Drosophila melanogaster: one gene and its partner. The protein of the gene in region 2 interacts with the protein of the main gene of each other region in a pairwise test. Each region holds a gene or a part of one and is shown on either strand. Other genes may lie near its edges.

Region 1 (7,612 bases), on a different chromosome or scaffold from region 2:
TATCCAAAAAAATTTTCAATAATGTGGGCGTGTCAGTTTTGGGCGGTTTCAGGGAGTTGAAGAGGGCGGGGCAAAAAGTTTTTTTGCTAGTCGATATAAATTTACAAGGCTAACAATTATGGAAAAATGTACAAAAACCCGTGCGAAAAAGAATGTCCAAAAACTGTTTAAAAATGTGGGCGTGGCAGTTTTGGCGTTTTTAGGGCGTTGGGGTGGGCGTGGCAAAAAGTTTTTTTTTCAAATCGATAGACATTTACATTACTAGAATCTGTATGCTGAATCCCAATCGTATAGCTTTTAAAGTTCCTGAGATCTCGACCTTCATACGGACAGCGAACAGACAGACACGGCTAGATCGATTCGGCTATTGATCGGGATCAAAAATATGTATATTTTATATAGTCGGAAACGCGTCCTACTGCCTGTTACATACTTTTCAACGAATCTAGTATACCCTTTTACTTGAGAAACTTGAGAGCAGTGTTATAGAGTGTTTTACTCTATAAAAAATCCTAATTATTTAAATAATTCTTTATTAACATTTATTTGTTTAATAGATTTGTAGAATCCGTTAATGTCGCTGAATGCCAGAAAGCAAGCATGCACACAATGCACCCCATTTTATAGATGAATGTTGCTATGAATCTTTATCTGATTAAGTGCTAAACCTACAACTAATGAAAACATGCATGTTGTACAAATTATCCATAGTAATTTGCAAACCGATCTAGCTTTTGATTAGTGAGTGGTGTTACCTACAGGCTTAATTGGCGATGGAATGCTGTTTTTTGTGTTTTCCATCTTCAAATCAGGCGCAATGGTTGTGGGTTCATAGGTTTTCTAAAAAACAAACACAATATTTATTTAGTCTACTGGGTTTTTAATCTCCTAGCTTCCTATAAAAGTATGTATCAGGTAGAAGGAAGCGTTTCCGACACAATAAAGTATATATATTCTTGATCAGGATCCATAACCGAATCGATTATTTTGTATGAATGTCGTTTGTATGTAAGTAAAGAATAATTTCAGATTTCATTGACAGACGCAGCACGAGTTTGTTTCTTTTTGTTGCACGCCCACTCTAACGCCCACAAGCCGCCCAAAACAGTCACGCCCACAAGTTTCTTTTCTGGTGTTGCCAGACCCACAGTTTTTTTTTTAATTTTATCATATGTCTTTCCGATTTCTATCGGTAACAATTATGCCCACCCAAATGCCCGAAAACCGCCAAAAATGTTATATATATTTTAAAAATGTAACGTCACAAAAGTTAATATGAAGACGTGTTTATATTTTTTAATAATTACACATGAATTTGTATTGAAATGAGCTATAAAACTGTGTATAGTCTTACTTACCGGTTCATTTAGCGAAACAAGGTCTGCTTTAGTGTTTTCGGCCGATAAATCAGATGCAATGGATGTTGGGTCATTGACATTCTAAAAATAAAGTACACTTTAAAGATCTAATCGAAATTGATAATGTATGATTTGCACGAAGCTGTAAGTAAACTTTTGTAAGCTGCGTATTAAAATAATGAAGTGCAGCTGAATGAATGTTCCAAAATTTTAAACCAAATCATACAATAATTAATAAATCAATTATAATATTAAACATATGCAATTAAACAACACAGTTCAAAGAGTCGTAGGCTTTTGCCTTATGTTTGACAAAATTTACTCTGCAGAACTGCAGAAGCTTAAATAATTATTTGCTTGTGCTCAAATATAAGCGTTATACCTAGATTAATACCCATGCAGAGTCAGAGTTTTTCGTATATATCTGAGTAGTTCCCCTATCCGTATCCGGTTCCGAAAAGCACATAGTTATAAAGCTTGACTATTTCCAACATTATTTTTTAAAACGCACTTTAAAACAAGAGAGAATGCTATAGTCGAGTTCGCCGACTATCAGATACCCGTTACTCAACTAGTGTGAATGCGAAGCCGAAATTTTATAATTATTATTGGATATCAATAGATATTGGGGAATAAAATGAGAAAAAAAATTTAACATTGTTTAAAAATGTGGGCGCGTCCGTTTTGATAGTTTTGTAGGTGAAAAAATGGGCGGACAACAGTGTTTTTGGTATACAGACAAAAATTGTATGCTTAATCTCAACCTTCTAGCTTTTTTAGTTCCTGAGATGTCAACTTTCATACAGGTGGACACTTCCAGATCGACTCGGCTATCGATCCAGATCAAGAATATATATACTTTATATGGTTGGAAACGCTTCCTTCTGACTGTTACATATTGATCAAAGATCTAGTATACCCTTTTACTTCACGAGTAACCGGTTTAGAATATGCAAAAGTGTGGGGATGACAGTTTCCGCGGTTGATGAACGTTGGAGTATGAGGGCCAATCTTTTAAAACCAACTTGCAGAAATGTCACTGGTATCAGAATGCTGAAAGTGCATATTCATATTCATATATATCTTGAAGTTTAAATGGACAAACAGGCGGAAATGGCGACAACAATTCTAAAAGAGATCCTAATCCATTCCGCCTTTTATCTGATTTTGAAGATTACGAGTAATCAGGACATTAATTCCTTAAACTTGTTAGAATTTCTTTAAAAATATAAAAACGTTTCAACAATATTTTTTTTTTACCTAAATCATGTTTTAAATATTATTGACTTAGATCCAAGTACCTGGACTAAGTTACTAAGTTACAAATACACATTTAGACTTTATGAAGTAAAAAATAAATGTAGCCTTTGCAGGGTATATGGTAAGTTAGGGCAACATTTGCTTTACTTTTTCTTTATAAATATTATGTTAAATAAAAAACATTTTTGAAGCTTGAAGGCGATAATTTAGGTCTGTTATTCTTAAAAATACAAATACTTTTTCCGACGAAGATTTAGTGGTATCCTGTGATTTGCAATTTTCGATAGCTTTATCATCTTCGCCTTTAATTAGAATGTTCGACGTGTCTTGAACAGGTGATTCGTTTTCCGCATTCGATGAATTTTCACCATTAGTACTCCCATCTATTAAGTCCAACTCGAAATTATTCTCAGAAACGGTGGACAAATTTTCCACAGATATTAATGGGTCCGTTTTAATAGATGCATCTATAATAATAGGGTTATTGGATTCGGAGTCTTCTATCTCAACAGTTCTCTCCATATCCGATGAGCTAATATCTAAAGACGGCTTGTCAATTAGTGCAGCTGGGTTTACTTCCAAATCTGTTGTATTTTTTTTCTCTGAATTACAGTCTTCAGATTCGCTTTCTTCAATTTTTAGATCGTCATCATCTTTATTATCTCTTGAAGTGACGGGTTTATCAAAACCACTGTCAATATAAGATACCAAGAGTTTTTCATTGAGATTATCATTATCTTGGGGAGTAGTTTTAATCTCATCAGCGTAATCTATTTGGGTTTCATTTTTTGTAGCAATTTCTTTCTCCTTTAGATTGTAGAAAATATGAGTTTGTAAAGTTTATTTCTATCTATTTATTAAATGGTAATATTACTATTATTTACATTAAAAATGATGGCAAAAAACGTAAACGGTATATTTAGTTAATAATTACAATAATTTATTTAAATAAATGTATTACCATTTTCTCTCTGAGAAAATTGTCAAAAGTAAATGTATAACAATGTAAAAGATGTAAAAAATCTTGTAAAAAATCTAAGCACTTTGAATTTTTTATAGGTGAATATTATATTTATATTAATTAATTAAATATTGTTTTTTGACTTACCTCAATATTTAAAGTAGAATCCATATCTAAAAGCTGTACAAATCTATAAAATAATAATAAAATGTAGAGAAAGGAATTTATATTTGTATCGTCTCAACAGGTAGGCAGGTCCTGCATTATTATTATTACATAAGGGTGTAATTTATAATAAAGCACATGCAACACACTCAGTTATAAAATATCGCATTTTATGCTGAATGTAAATACATATAGAGACACTCAAATAATGTTCGTTGGTGCTGTTATTATGTAATACATAGTGAGAAGCATATACAACATGAATGTTAATTTCTCTTCGACCACACTAACTTTTCTTTTTTTTAATATCCATAATAATAATTTACACGTACATATATCAAATATATCTTTTCACTTGCCTATTTCCCAATGTTATTTGTTTAAAAAAATATTTACTGCAAACAATACTGTAGTATCGAATTATTGAAAGATAATAATACAACTAAAATCCGTATAGGCCAATAGAATGAACATGAATTCATGCGCCTGCCTTTAAGAATATGATTGCACATCAAAGATAGCTTCCACACTGTCCACATGCTTATTTACTTGATTATCGGCTCGTTCGCATACAGCAATTTGGGAAATGTGTATTTAAAAGTCACACACAAATACATTTATTTTCACAAATACAAAAATATTTTCTCGTAAATTTATACGTATGTATACAGCATCTTTGTTCGGCAAACAAGCGCATCGATGAGAGCCCCTTTTATTGGAACGGAGTACTTTATTTACTATTTTTATAGTTATAAGTCGCAGTGTCTTATATGCACTTACATACATACCTTGTTTTTAAAACTTAAATTTACGAATGAGTAAAGTGCGAACCATCTTTAAGTTAACATCGCCCAAATTTGATTATATTCAAAGTAATATCTCGAGAAAATACTGTAACATGAATATACATATATCCATTGATGTTCGATATTTCTTTATAGATAGTAATATTCTCTTTTAGAGATGTTATATTAAGTACACCCAAAATCAAACCACTTTCAGAGGAAACTAATGACGATAACACGAACTTGAAGATACAATAGAAGAAAGAACACGCTCCCTACCTGTTACTTCTTACAATTGGATATAACCTTTCACAGTACGACTAAAAAATATAAATATATTACAAACAATTGTATACACGTTTGAATTTGAACCCTAATATTCATTCGTTGAAAACTAGAATGGCGGAGGGAAGAACTGCTGACCCATAAAGAATATACTTCGAATATTCGAGCAGAATCGCAAGCCAAGTTGATCTAGCAATGTACGTCCATTTTAATTTCGTGATCTTTAAAATTTTAAAAGCTAGAAAGCTAATTTTAGATACGTATGTTCTTAAAAGTCCGATCTTATGCCAATTTGGAACTCGTACACGTTTAAAAACTGTTATTCTTTTAGTCAATTTAGTTAATTGCTTGGACACAACAAAGCGCAAAAATCTGTTAGACCCAAACCTTCAAAAAAGGTACTAGAGTATCATTTGTAACGGACGCAAATACCAAGGTTGTTCAAAAATTTACAACATTTTGTTGTGTAATTGTTTATTTACCATAGTTTTCAAAAACACTGTCCTTCTTCTATCAACACAAAAGCTGACTTTGATGTATTAATATAACTATTATCCGGATTGCAAACACTATTGCGAATAATCTTATTTACATTCGCCTTTAAAATTCGAAAATTTACTTCTCCATAATCTAGATTGCTGTATAGAAAAATTGGTAGTCGGTTACTTATAAGCCATACATTTTGATCTTTTTCTTTGTCTACTTTTAAATCATTTGGAAATTGAATAAGATTTGAGTTTTCCATATTATGAAATTTTCCCAAATGTGCTCGAGTGTATGGTTTCGATGTATCCCAGCATCCAATATCATCTTGATGAACTTGTGTAAAAAACATAATGCCATTCCTTGTAACTCCTGATGTAGATGATTGAGAATTATATCCGCGGTCTCCAATTGGTATGAAGTACTTGGCGTACTCTTGAGTATTCGTTTGCCACACAGATTCGTTTAACAAGATATTCATAGGCACCATGAACTCCTAAATGAGAAAGTATTATAATCACAATTATTATTATTATTATATCAGTTACTCGTAGAGTATAAGGGATTGCTAGTTTGGTTAATAAAAATAAAACAGAAATAAGCCTTTTCGGACCCTACAAGCTGCAGATAATTAGCTTACTTAAGATTTAGATTTATTTAAGTACCTTAAGTAAGACTGATCAAGTAGTAAGCTGTAGGAGGGGTTTTTAAAAGTAAGTCGGCGAGCCATTATTTAGACAATAAAGACAATGTTAAGAAAGGCATTTTTTAAAATCAATATCAAATCAATTCCCAGCCATTTTCTTGTCTTTATTTATATACTCCTTATACTCACCTTGAAACTTGCCATTGGATGAAAATAAAGAACGCGTTCCATTATTTTCTTATTGTAATATATACTCATTCCAAAAACACCATCCAGCCATTGAAAATTTAATCCGTATACATTAAAATCCGAAGCAAAGGGATCCGGATAAAAGTTATAGTTGGTCACGCGCCAGCTGCGGTTTTTTGATAGGCTGTAAACAAGTAGACCAAATCTCCATACATCCGATACGATAGCATGCGCATCATCGCAATCTTCTCCAATATCCACAACAATATTGGAGTGCAACGAATCTTGCTTCACATGAGAAGCTTCCAAATTGTATCGAACAATCAGTTCGTCACTTTTAAGATCATACACAACAATTTTTGGTGGGCAGATCTGATTTAAGTTTATTGTAGCATTGACAATTCCAGAATCAATTAGCCAAATTCGATCACACCTATCTACAGCTGTTCGATAAACTGACATCAGTTTTGAGCAGTCAGGATTGTTTGGATTTCCATGAGCCTCCCAGTTTGGATACGGCTTTATTGCCGGGCTTGACTCTTTTGGAGGAAAGGGCAGTGTACCTAAGCTAGCAGGCACACCATTCTTCCAACGAGGAGTTGTCACAAACAGGCGGTTATTATGGACATCAATGCCTAAAGGTAAATTATTTTTTGGTACAAAGTCTCTGTAAATATTAATATATTATAATAATTAGACAGTAAATTCAGCGCAGTAGAATAACACATAAAGCCAGATTATGATAATCCTTTATGTAACAGTCTGTAACAGCCAGAAGGAAGCGTTTCTGACCATGTTCTATATGGTCATATACAATATTCTTTATAAGGATCAATAGCCAAGTCGAACTGGCCATGTACGTCGATCTTTATTTGCATTTGCATTTTCCCTAGCTGTGTAACGGGATTCTGATAGTCGGGGATCTCGACTATAGCATTAGAGATAATGCTAGGATTTATTCATCAATATTAAAGATATGGATGAGACGCACTGAATGATTCGAATGAAAAGAAAGTATTTATAAGAACTAGTCTCCTATAGTTTTCGAGATAAGATATTAATTTGTTAATTTTTTTTCGCATTCGCAGTTCCACGAGCTGATTAACGGATATCTGATAGTCGGGGATCTCGACTATTTGTGACATAAGAGCGTCAAATAGTTTATTTTTCGAATTTTCTTTTATACCTCTCACAATACAAGCATTTTAAATTTATTAAAGGCGTATTTTTTGATTTTTTTACTAGTACTACAATTTGTTATTAATATTAATACATTTTTCAAATTATCTCTTGATTTGTAAGAAACTGTTATAACCAAATTGTTTTGTTACCCATTTAAAATAGATTGTTGGCGTTGCACAAAAGTTGAGTATAGGAAATCCAAATATTTCCATTCATAAACGATCTCCAGTTGACTTTCACTCTGTAAGTTTTGCGAAAACGACTGCGAAGTATATTCATAGCCATCAAGTGTTTGGAA
Region 2 (7,490 bases):
GAACAATTAAATCTTCGATTCGAGCACGAAAATCGTTTTTGTTTTGTCCCGTCGCAGTCATTGTTTAGTGAATCTTCTATTTAGCACTTACTCAATAATTTTGTTTGCATGGATAAAACAATTAAATTGGTAGCAAGACCAGCAGGCGAATGCAAACCAGCTGCGCCAACCAAAGTAAATCAATCTTTTCTGCAGTTTTGCACCCGCACGAGTCGGCACTTGGTTAATAAGTGCGGCTAGAACTCCGAAATGCAGATGGTTTTTAAGCAATGTACGCTTTGTTCTCTTTTCATTTTTCGCTGTAGTTTCCACTTATCTGTGAAATAAATGTAAAGCAAGAAAAGTGTCTTGCTAATGCATGTAGATATGCATATGGGGTGGCATGGGCATTTGGGTAATTGATTTTCGGCGAATGACATGGTCGTGGAAATTAGTATGGCCGGCTCTTATCATTTTCCATACAACCGCAACTTATCAGCAATGTATTATTATTTGTTATCACCAACGTCCATTGCCGATTACTTTGGTTATGTGCTAATAACAATTTCTGGGTCAATTTCCGTTGGCTACGATATAATTTCGGACTTATAGTCTATTTGCAGCATACAGATAATGATTTCGGAGAATTGCTCTAGCATATTTGAAGTACTCATTCCTGGCAATAACATTAGCAGTATTAGCAGTATCTATAGATACTGTATATTACAATACTTTTTAAAAGTTTAAACATAACAAATGTCGTATTGAACGTAGTTCCACTTCTGGGCTATTGTTGTTCACTTTTTGCCTTTTTTACTAGGGATCACTGTATGTATGAATGGTTGGTTAGGCGTAGCTTTTGTTTGATCAGTTGGTGGTTTTTTAAAGTCGATAGTTCAATTTGACTTTATATCTCATTTGGAACTCTGTCATCAAAGTGTTAAGTGTGATAAAAATGATATCGTCTAGTCCTAAACTGCCTTGGTTCACCGGCAAGGGTTTGCTGAGTTCATACATTTAACAAGCAGGTTTTTATAAACATTATGTGTTTTTTAGTGCCGCCCAGCCAAATGATTCTGACCATTTTTCTGTGCTTAGCCGTATTTTACGGCCTGGCTAAACTCATCGCCATTCCGCTGCGCATCGATGACTTCGACAGCTTCAGACCAATTCACACCGAGGATATGCAGTCACCAGGTCAAGGATTTTGAAAATCTGAGATAGACCCCTGAGCCCAGCAATTATCAATTGTAAACTGGGAATGCAATGCTAGGTTGTGTGGGTGGCACATCAGAGACCAGTGTGTTTGCCCGACTTGCTTGGCGCTTTGCAATTGCAATTGTAATTTGCAAATTAATTAAATTTAAGCATGAACAACATGTCAGACCGACATCGCCGCTCCAATCTAATGTACAATAGCAATTAAACGCAATTTAACCGCGTATTTGCTTATCATTGTAGTCTACTGATCAGATTCGAACGCCTTTGGGATGCCCGATTTGCGTGGAGTGAATAACAAACAAAAGTTTGCGAATCGTGGCAAATATTGTATTTACAAATGTTCTAATATTAGATCCATTGCCGATCCAAAAACTATTCCCATGCACTGCAGCGGCCAATTGAAAAATTACTTGTCGAGCAAAAAAGAAAATTATATAATCACATACTGTTCGGTAGCACGAATATGAACGTGTATATAATTCATACTGTCTGGCAATTCTATTTCAGTGATCTATTTGATATCCATGGTGATTAGCTTTATTCGTGCTATTACGTATTTTAGTTGTTATCTTTGAAATTTCGGTGTTTGTGGCGTACTCAGATAAAGCCAAAGATAATAAAACATTATAACACCAGTTTGTCTCGTCAAAGATGTAGTACCTTGCACAGATAATAAAAAAAAATATTTTGTGGCATTGTAAAGCTTAAAAAATTCCCTCAATGTGTGTGTGTAGAACCCTTGACATAAAACGTTTACCTCATCATAACTCAAATAGATAAGCATAACTATATTTATGGGTTTTTCAAAACCAGCTTAATATTGTAGTTAAGTTTTCCCAAAAGTCAACTTATGTAGCTTAAATTCTTATTCACTATATATGTATAATAATAATAATAATCTAGTTCTTAACTAATTCATCGAGAGCGCGTAATGGAGCACCTGTTAATAGAAATTAAGCTAAACTAAATTTATTATTATGTCATTCAGTTAATAGAGTGCCTTTTGCTTTTTTGCTGCCCTATACTCAGACTAGCGTGACAGTCCATTCATCGTAATTTAAAAAAAAAAATGTAAAAACAGAATGGGCCAGAAAGACAAACTAAAACCAGAAACCAAACCAATTGTACAATTGTTTTGTTTGGCCGCTTTTCATCTGCGGTCAATAAAATCAGCCACGCTCTGCGATCCCGCAAATATTTTAATTCAGTTATTGTATTTTATTTTTGGAGCCCGTATAAGCAAAGTACCCTGTACTTAATGTTTTGGCTCTATGATTCTCGTTTTATTTCAATTCACTTTCAGTAACTTCCCTTTCAGATAAACAATACAGTAAGGACTGGCACAATGATGTCGGCAGCTGTTTATCAAAGTGGAACTGGACTGCGGAATTGTTATCAGGCACAAAAAAAAAACATGGCATTCGTTTTTAAAACTCTGTTTCTTTGTTCATCGTGTAATAGTACAATACAGCAAATGAAAATGGAAATATTAATATGATTCATATAACGAACGAATGAGAAAAGTGATTATGCCATTAGTTCAACCTTAAAGAATTCCATTCCTTAAAATTTTGTATACTTTACGGAGAGCTTATCTATAAGAGTTCTCAAGTAACTATTATTTTCTGTCCCAATGAACAATATCTATTACTCTGTTGTTCAAACGACATCGACAAAAGCAATGTATAAGAAGAAAAGTCGGAATGTGAGTTCTTAATTAAATATTGATTAAAAGGCTTTGCTGATAGATAATTGATTGCTGATTAATGAATAGGTATAGCGCTATTCACCTGAATCTCACGTGAAATGGCACCTTTTTGGGGCCATTGAACAATATTCTATAGTATAGCCCGCGGGGCATGGCACAGCTGGTTTAAGGTTATTGGGTTAGTCTATTCAAATTCAGATTTTTGGCTTTACGAAATAACACACATTTAAGAACAAATACACCCAATACAAGAAATAATACATTAAAAACTATTTGACTTGGTATTGAATATTTTTAAAAATAATGTAATAATACATTAAGTAAGGAGCTCTTTAAGGATCAGTCTTTTAGAGTCATTCATAATTATTAAAACTCATTTACTAGGTAGTTCTCTTCTGGAAAACGAAAACATGCTAAAAGTAGCATAAAGTACTATTCTTATTCAGTCCCATATGTTGCAAGGAGAGTTCATTACTTTGATGACTGATGGAAATGGCTACTGTTTTTTTACTTGAAGCAGGAAGAACCATATGTATGTTTATAGTACAAGTTCCAGCTTCCACTATCAGTTGAATTTGAATGGCAATCACTAGGTGCAATCTGCATATGAATTATCCCCGCAACAATAACAAGAGAAGGCTAATCAGAGAGCAGAGACGAGAAATACAAATACAAATGCACGCACAATAGCATGTGCTGCTCTCTCTCTCTCTGTCGAGATAAAAATGAGAGGGAGAGAAAGTGACGCCCACTGGAACCACAAATAAATTAAAGTAAATGCGTTTCGGCTGCAGTTAATTCACCCCCCGGATGCAAAAGGGAATAGAGGGGGAGGGCTGAGTGCATGGCAGGGCATAACGGAAATGACAACTGAAGAGAGCCGGAGAGCGAGAAACCAAAATGCAGCTGTTTGGGGAATGTCATTACATTAACAGAGACAACAACAACCACCAGGATAAGACATCACGAATTGGGAAGCCACTTCTCGCCTAGTTATCAACATATTCCTTTGTGTTTAGCGGGTTATTAAAAATACTCAAGACCAACGACCCTCAAACAGATAACATATTAGAGTTGTCGCCTTAAATGCCTCAAACACACTTGGAACAGAACGTTAAATTTAATAAATGCTGTACCTTATAATTTAAACTTTTTGCATTGATTTTATAATTTTTAGGCATAGGATCAGAGTTTACAAATATTTTAGGAATGGGGACCCAAGAGTTTAGCTATTTTTTTTATACTGTTCTCAATTCTTTTCTTCATTAGCTTTATTTTAACATCCTGCAGCAAGGGGCTTTGGTAGTGTGAGTGGCCGGACTGGAAGGAAAGGCCGTCAGGCAATTCTTCCTTCCACTTCCTTCTAGTCAATTTCAGTTTCCAGTTGGAAACCAATATATGTACATATGTATATTCTCGTGCGTTACTTGCCGTAACAGTGGCTTAAACTTGTTCGTTCTTATTGTTTTGGTTTTATTCACACTCTTCACCTTCGTTTGCTCTTCCTTGTCACGTTCTTCTTGCACTCTATGTACATACACCATATGCGCAATTGTATATTATATTTATTGCGCTTTCTGTTTTGGCACAAAACGCAATTTTTGCTGACCGATTAGTTTTCCGTTCAGGTAAATTCCGCACGCGTTTCATTTCATTTGATTTTTAAATCACCGTTTTTCGCGTCGCCCATTTACTTACGAATTGATTTTTCCTCACGCGTTTCTCCATCGCAGGACGCTCCCAAAAAGCTTTTAATTTCGCGATGAGTGCGTTTTATTCACAACTGCTTTCACGTTTTGCACATTCGCTTAATTGCTGTGTTAGTCGAGCCACTCGAAATATTTAATTAAACTTATTTTCCGCGCCCTTTCCTTGATTTTCAACAAGCGCATAAGTGAAGCAAGCGAACGCGCCGGACAAACAAAAACAACTGCCGCGAATTCTAAAACTGAGCACGAGCGAGAACGAAGAGAACAGAGTACACTGGCAAGAAAATGTTGAAAGTTGTAAATTAAAAAAATTTATGATTATGATCGAAGTTGAAACATAAGCTATTATTGCTGTCTAGTGCAATAAAAGTAAAAAATTTGAATTTAATTACACCAAGTATTATTAAATATATTATTTAAAATATCAGTTCCCAATAAGTATTTTTAACTATTTCATATTTAACCAGAATATAGTACAAATTAGTACAAAAACAAATAAATTTAAATATCGCAGTATACAAGTTATTTGTTTCTACCTGTGCAATCAACAGAATTAAGTGAGAGAACCAAAGCTCACTCTCTCTCTCTCTCGCTGTTCTTTTTATATGCTTGTGTCGGAAAGGGGGTGTAAACCGGTACCGGCTTTCTATAAAGAGCGAGAGTGATTTGAAAATTATAAAAAAAACTTCTATTAAACTAAAATATTATAGGTAAGATATGTAGTTTGTATATATAAGTGGTGTGACTTCGATTTATCAATGGCCTGTTTCTCTCATCACTCGCTACTAGTCACCATATATTTGGCAAAACAGCTGTTGGAAACTATCTTAAGGGTTTGTTTTTGGGGTTGGTTCTAAGATTTGTGTCCACTCTTTCGAATATTACTTTCTCAAAGAATGAATACAAATATATGTGCATAATATATAAATTGATAATTGTACGTCTGAAATATCTCCAAAAATCACAATCTAGAAAGGAAAGAATATAAAATTACCGAAAACTTGTTCAAATTTTGATTTTTGAAAATCATTAAAATTATGATAGGGATAGTTAGGTATGCTTATGAGCAGTATAAAACAGTGTTTTTTTTCGTTAGATGTGCCACCTTTTTTTTACCAAGTTATAGAGAAAACCCCGTTTAAAAATATAAGATTTTTGTATTTTTTTTTTTTTTTTTTCTAGTAAGATTTCACAAGCTATAAAAATAGTTGTCCAAAACCGTTATTAGAAAATATAACTAACATCAAATTTGAATGCAAGAAATTTTTTGCATTGTACGTTAAAAATTTGCGATATCGCAACTGTAATTAAACAAGTTATGTATACGCGCAAACTCGTTAAGAAACGTTTTTGTTTGATTCGTTATCTATTGTACATTAACAACCGGCTTCTGTGATGCTAAAGACTTCTAATACTTCATATTCGAAACCTGAACATAGACTACTTGAAAATTTATTAAGGTAACTCCATGTTGTCAGCCAAAATTAGTGAATATACGTTAAATATTTTTAAACCCAGAAATCGAAATTAATGCAATTGGTGACGAATGCCTTTAATAAATATTTATTGATGTGGGGCTGGTTAATGAGTTCATATAACTTTTTGCAATCGATCACTTCAGATAAGATAGTATTTCTTGTTAGCATTATCTGACAACTCTGATAAGGGCAAATTCTGTCTTCTAATTAGTGAGCAACGAATGAGAGTTCAGGAGTTTTTTAAACGCTACAGTCGAGTTTCGTGACTACCAGATACCCGTTACTCAAAAAAAATGTTTTAAAAGTGTCGGCGTGATGTTTCGAAATAAAAATGCCGCGTGTCAAGATCCGTTACACCCTTTTCAACAAGTCGAGAATACCCTCTTAAGCTACGAGTAACGGGTATAAAAATCGCTGACTGACTTTATTTTTTTTACTGTAATCTTACACATTATCTACACAACCACAAGTATATACAGTGTAGATCAACATTAGATTCGTAGCAATCAGCTTTCATTTGCTGACGTTCCCAACGATCTGCTAAATTTGAATGATGTTTTTTTTTCATTTTTTTTCCCTTCTTTAAAAATAATTTTTTTTTTACTGAATACTGTTTTTACTATTTTATTATTTTCTTTTATAACTTAATCTAATGCAACTATGTTAATCGGATAATCCAAGGCACTTTGTTTACGCTGCTCAATTGAGTGTATGAACTAAAAGACTAGACAGTAAATTTATTCATTTTTAATGAAAATGTTATTTCATTTCTTCCAGGCATGTATGTGTACATGAATTTTATGTAAATATTTGCATTACTCCCGTGGCCAAATTAGGAAAAGACTCACACAAATGATCGGCAAATTAGCTTTGAGTGGTGTGCAAATTAATCTAAAATAACTAGAATCAACAAAATTTTTTTTCTCTCCTAAAACTGAAGCCAGTGGAAAATATTTTGCGGCAACGTTAAAATGTAGACATTGAGTATAAAATGAAAAATTACAACGCTTGATTACAATCAATTTTATTTTTATTAAAAAACTAATGAAAATTTCCTTAAAATTCAAATCACTTATACAAAGTCAACAAAAGCATTAAAACTAATCCTCTTCAAATGACTACATAAGAATTGTCTTTAAAATGTGTTCAGGTAAACAAAAAGATCAAAGTCGTTTATAAAATGAGAATAATTGAATTAATTGATAAGTACTACAATTTCATCTTAAAATTACTTGGTATCTACATTTATTTGTACACGATATACAATTTACATATTTTATCTTACTATTTTCCCATTTTCATTTGTAGACCAAAAAATGCTTGCGTCTTAGGCTACATTCTAGTCTAGCATAAAATCTACGAATATTGATAACGATTTGTTCAGACTGTTCATTC

What was found.
Region 1: the proteins of C1GalTA (region 2) and CG1674 interact in a two-hybrid assay, tested with the Drosophila melanogaster proteins (one large-scale study listed by BioGRID).

What each region holds. Positions count from the first base shown.
Region 1 is NC_004353.4:228,092-235,703, reverse strand, and holds the start of CG1674 (uncharacterized protein), read right to left. Parts: upstream 4,279-7,612; 5' UTR 4,104-4,278; exon of another isoform or gene 4,077-4,103; intron 3,855-4,076; exon of another isoform or gene 3,770-3,854; 5' UTR 3,751-3,769; coding exon 3,727-3,750; intron 3,426-3,726; coding exon of another isoform or gene 2,856-3,425; intron 1,440-2,855; coding exon 1,359-1,439; intron 841-1,358; coding exon 760-840; intron 1-759. Other genes in the region: yellow-h, read right to left, coding at 5,305-5,793, 6,133-6,799, 7,464-7,612.
Region 2 is NT_033779.5:8,946,372-8,953,861, forward strand, and holds the start of C1GalTA (core 1 galactosyltransferase A), read right to left. Parts: upstream 4,846-7,490; 5' UTR 4,607-4,845; exon of another isoform or gene 4,399-4,606; intron 1,501-4,398; exon of another isoform or gene 1,191-1,500; coding exon of another isoform or gene 1,036-1,190; intron 978-1,035; coding exon of another isoform or gene 935-977; exon of another isoform or gene 895-934; intron 243-894; exon of another isoform or gene 92-242; intron 1-91. Other genes in the region: CG46397 (uncharacterized protein), read left to right, coding at 935-977, 1,036-1,190. UniProt on the Drosophila melanogaster protein: Glycosyltransferase that generates the core 1 O-glycan Gal-beta1-3GalNAc-alpha1-Ser/Thr (T antigen), which is a precursor for many extended O-glycans in glycoproteins.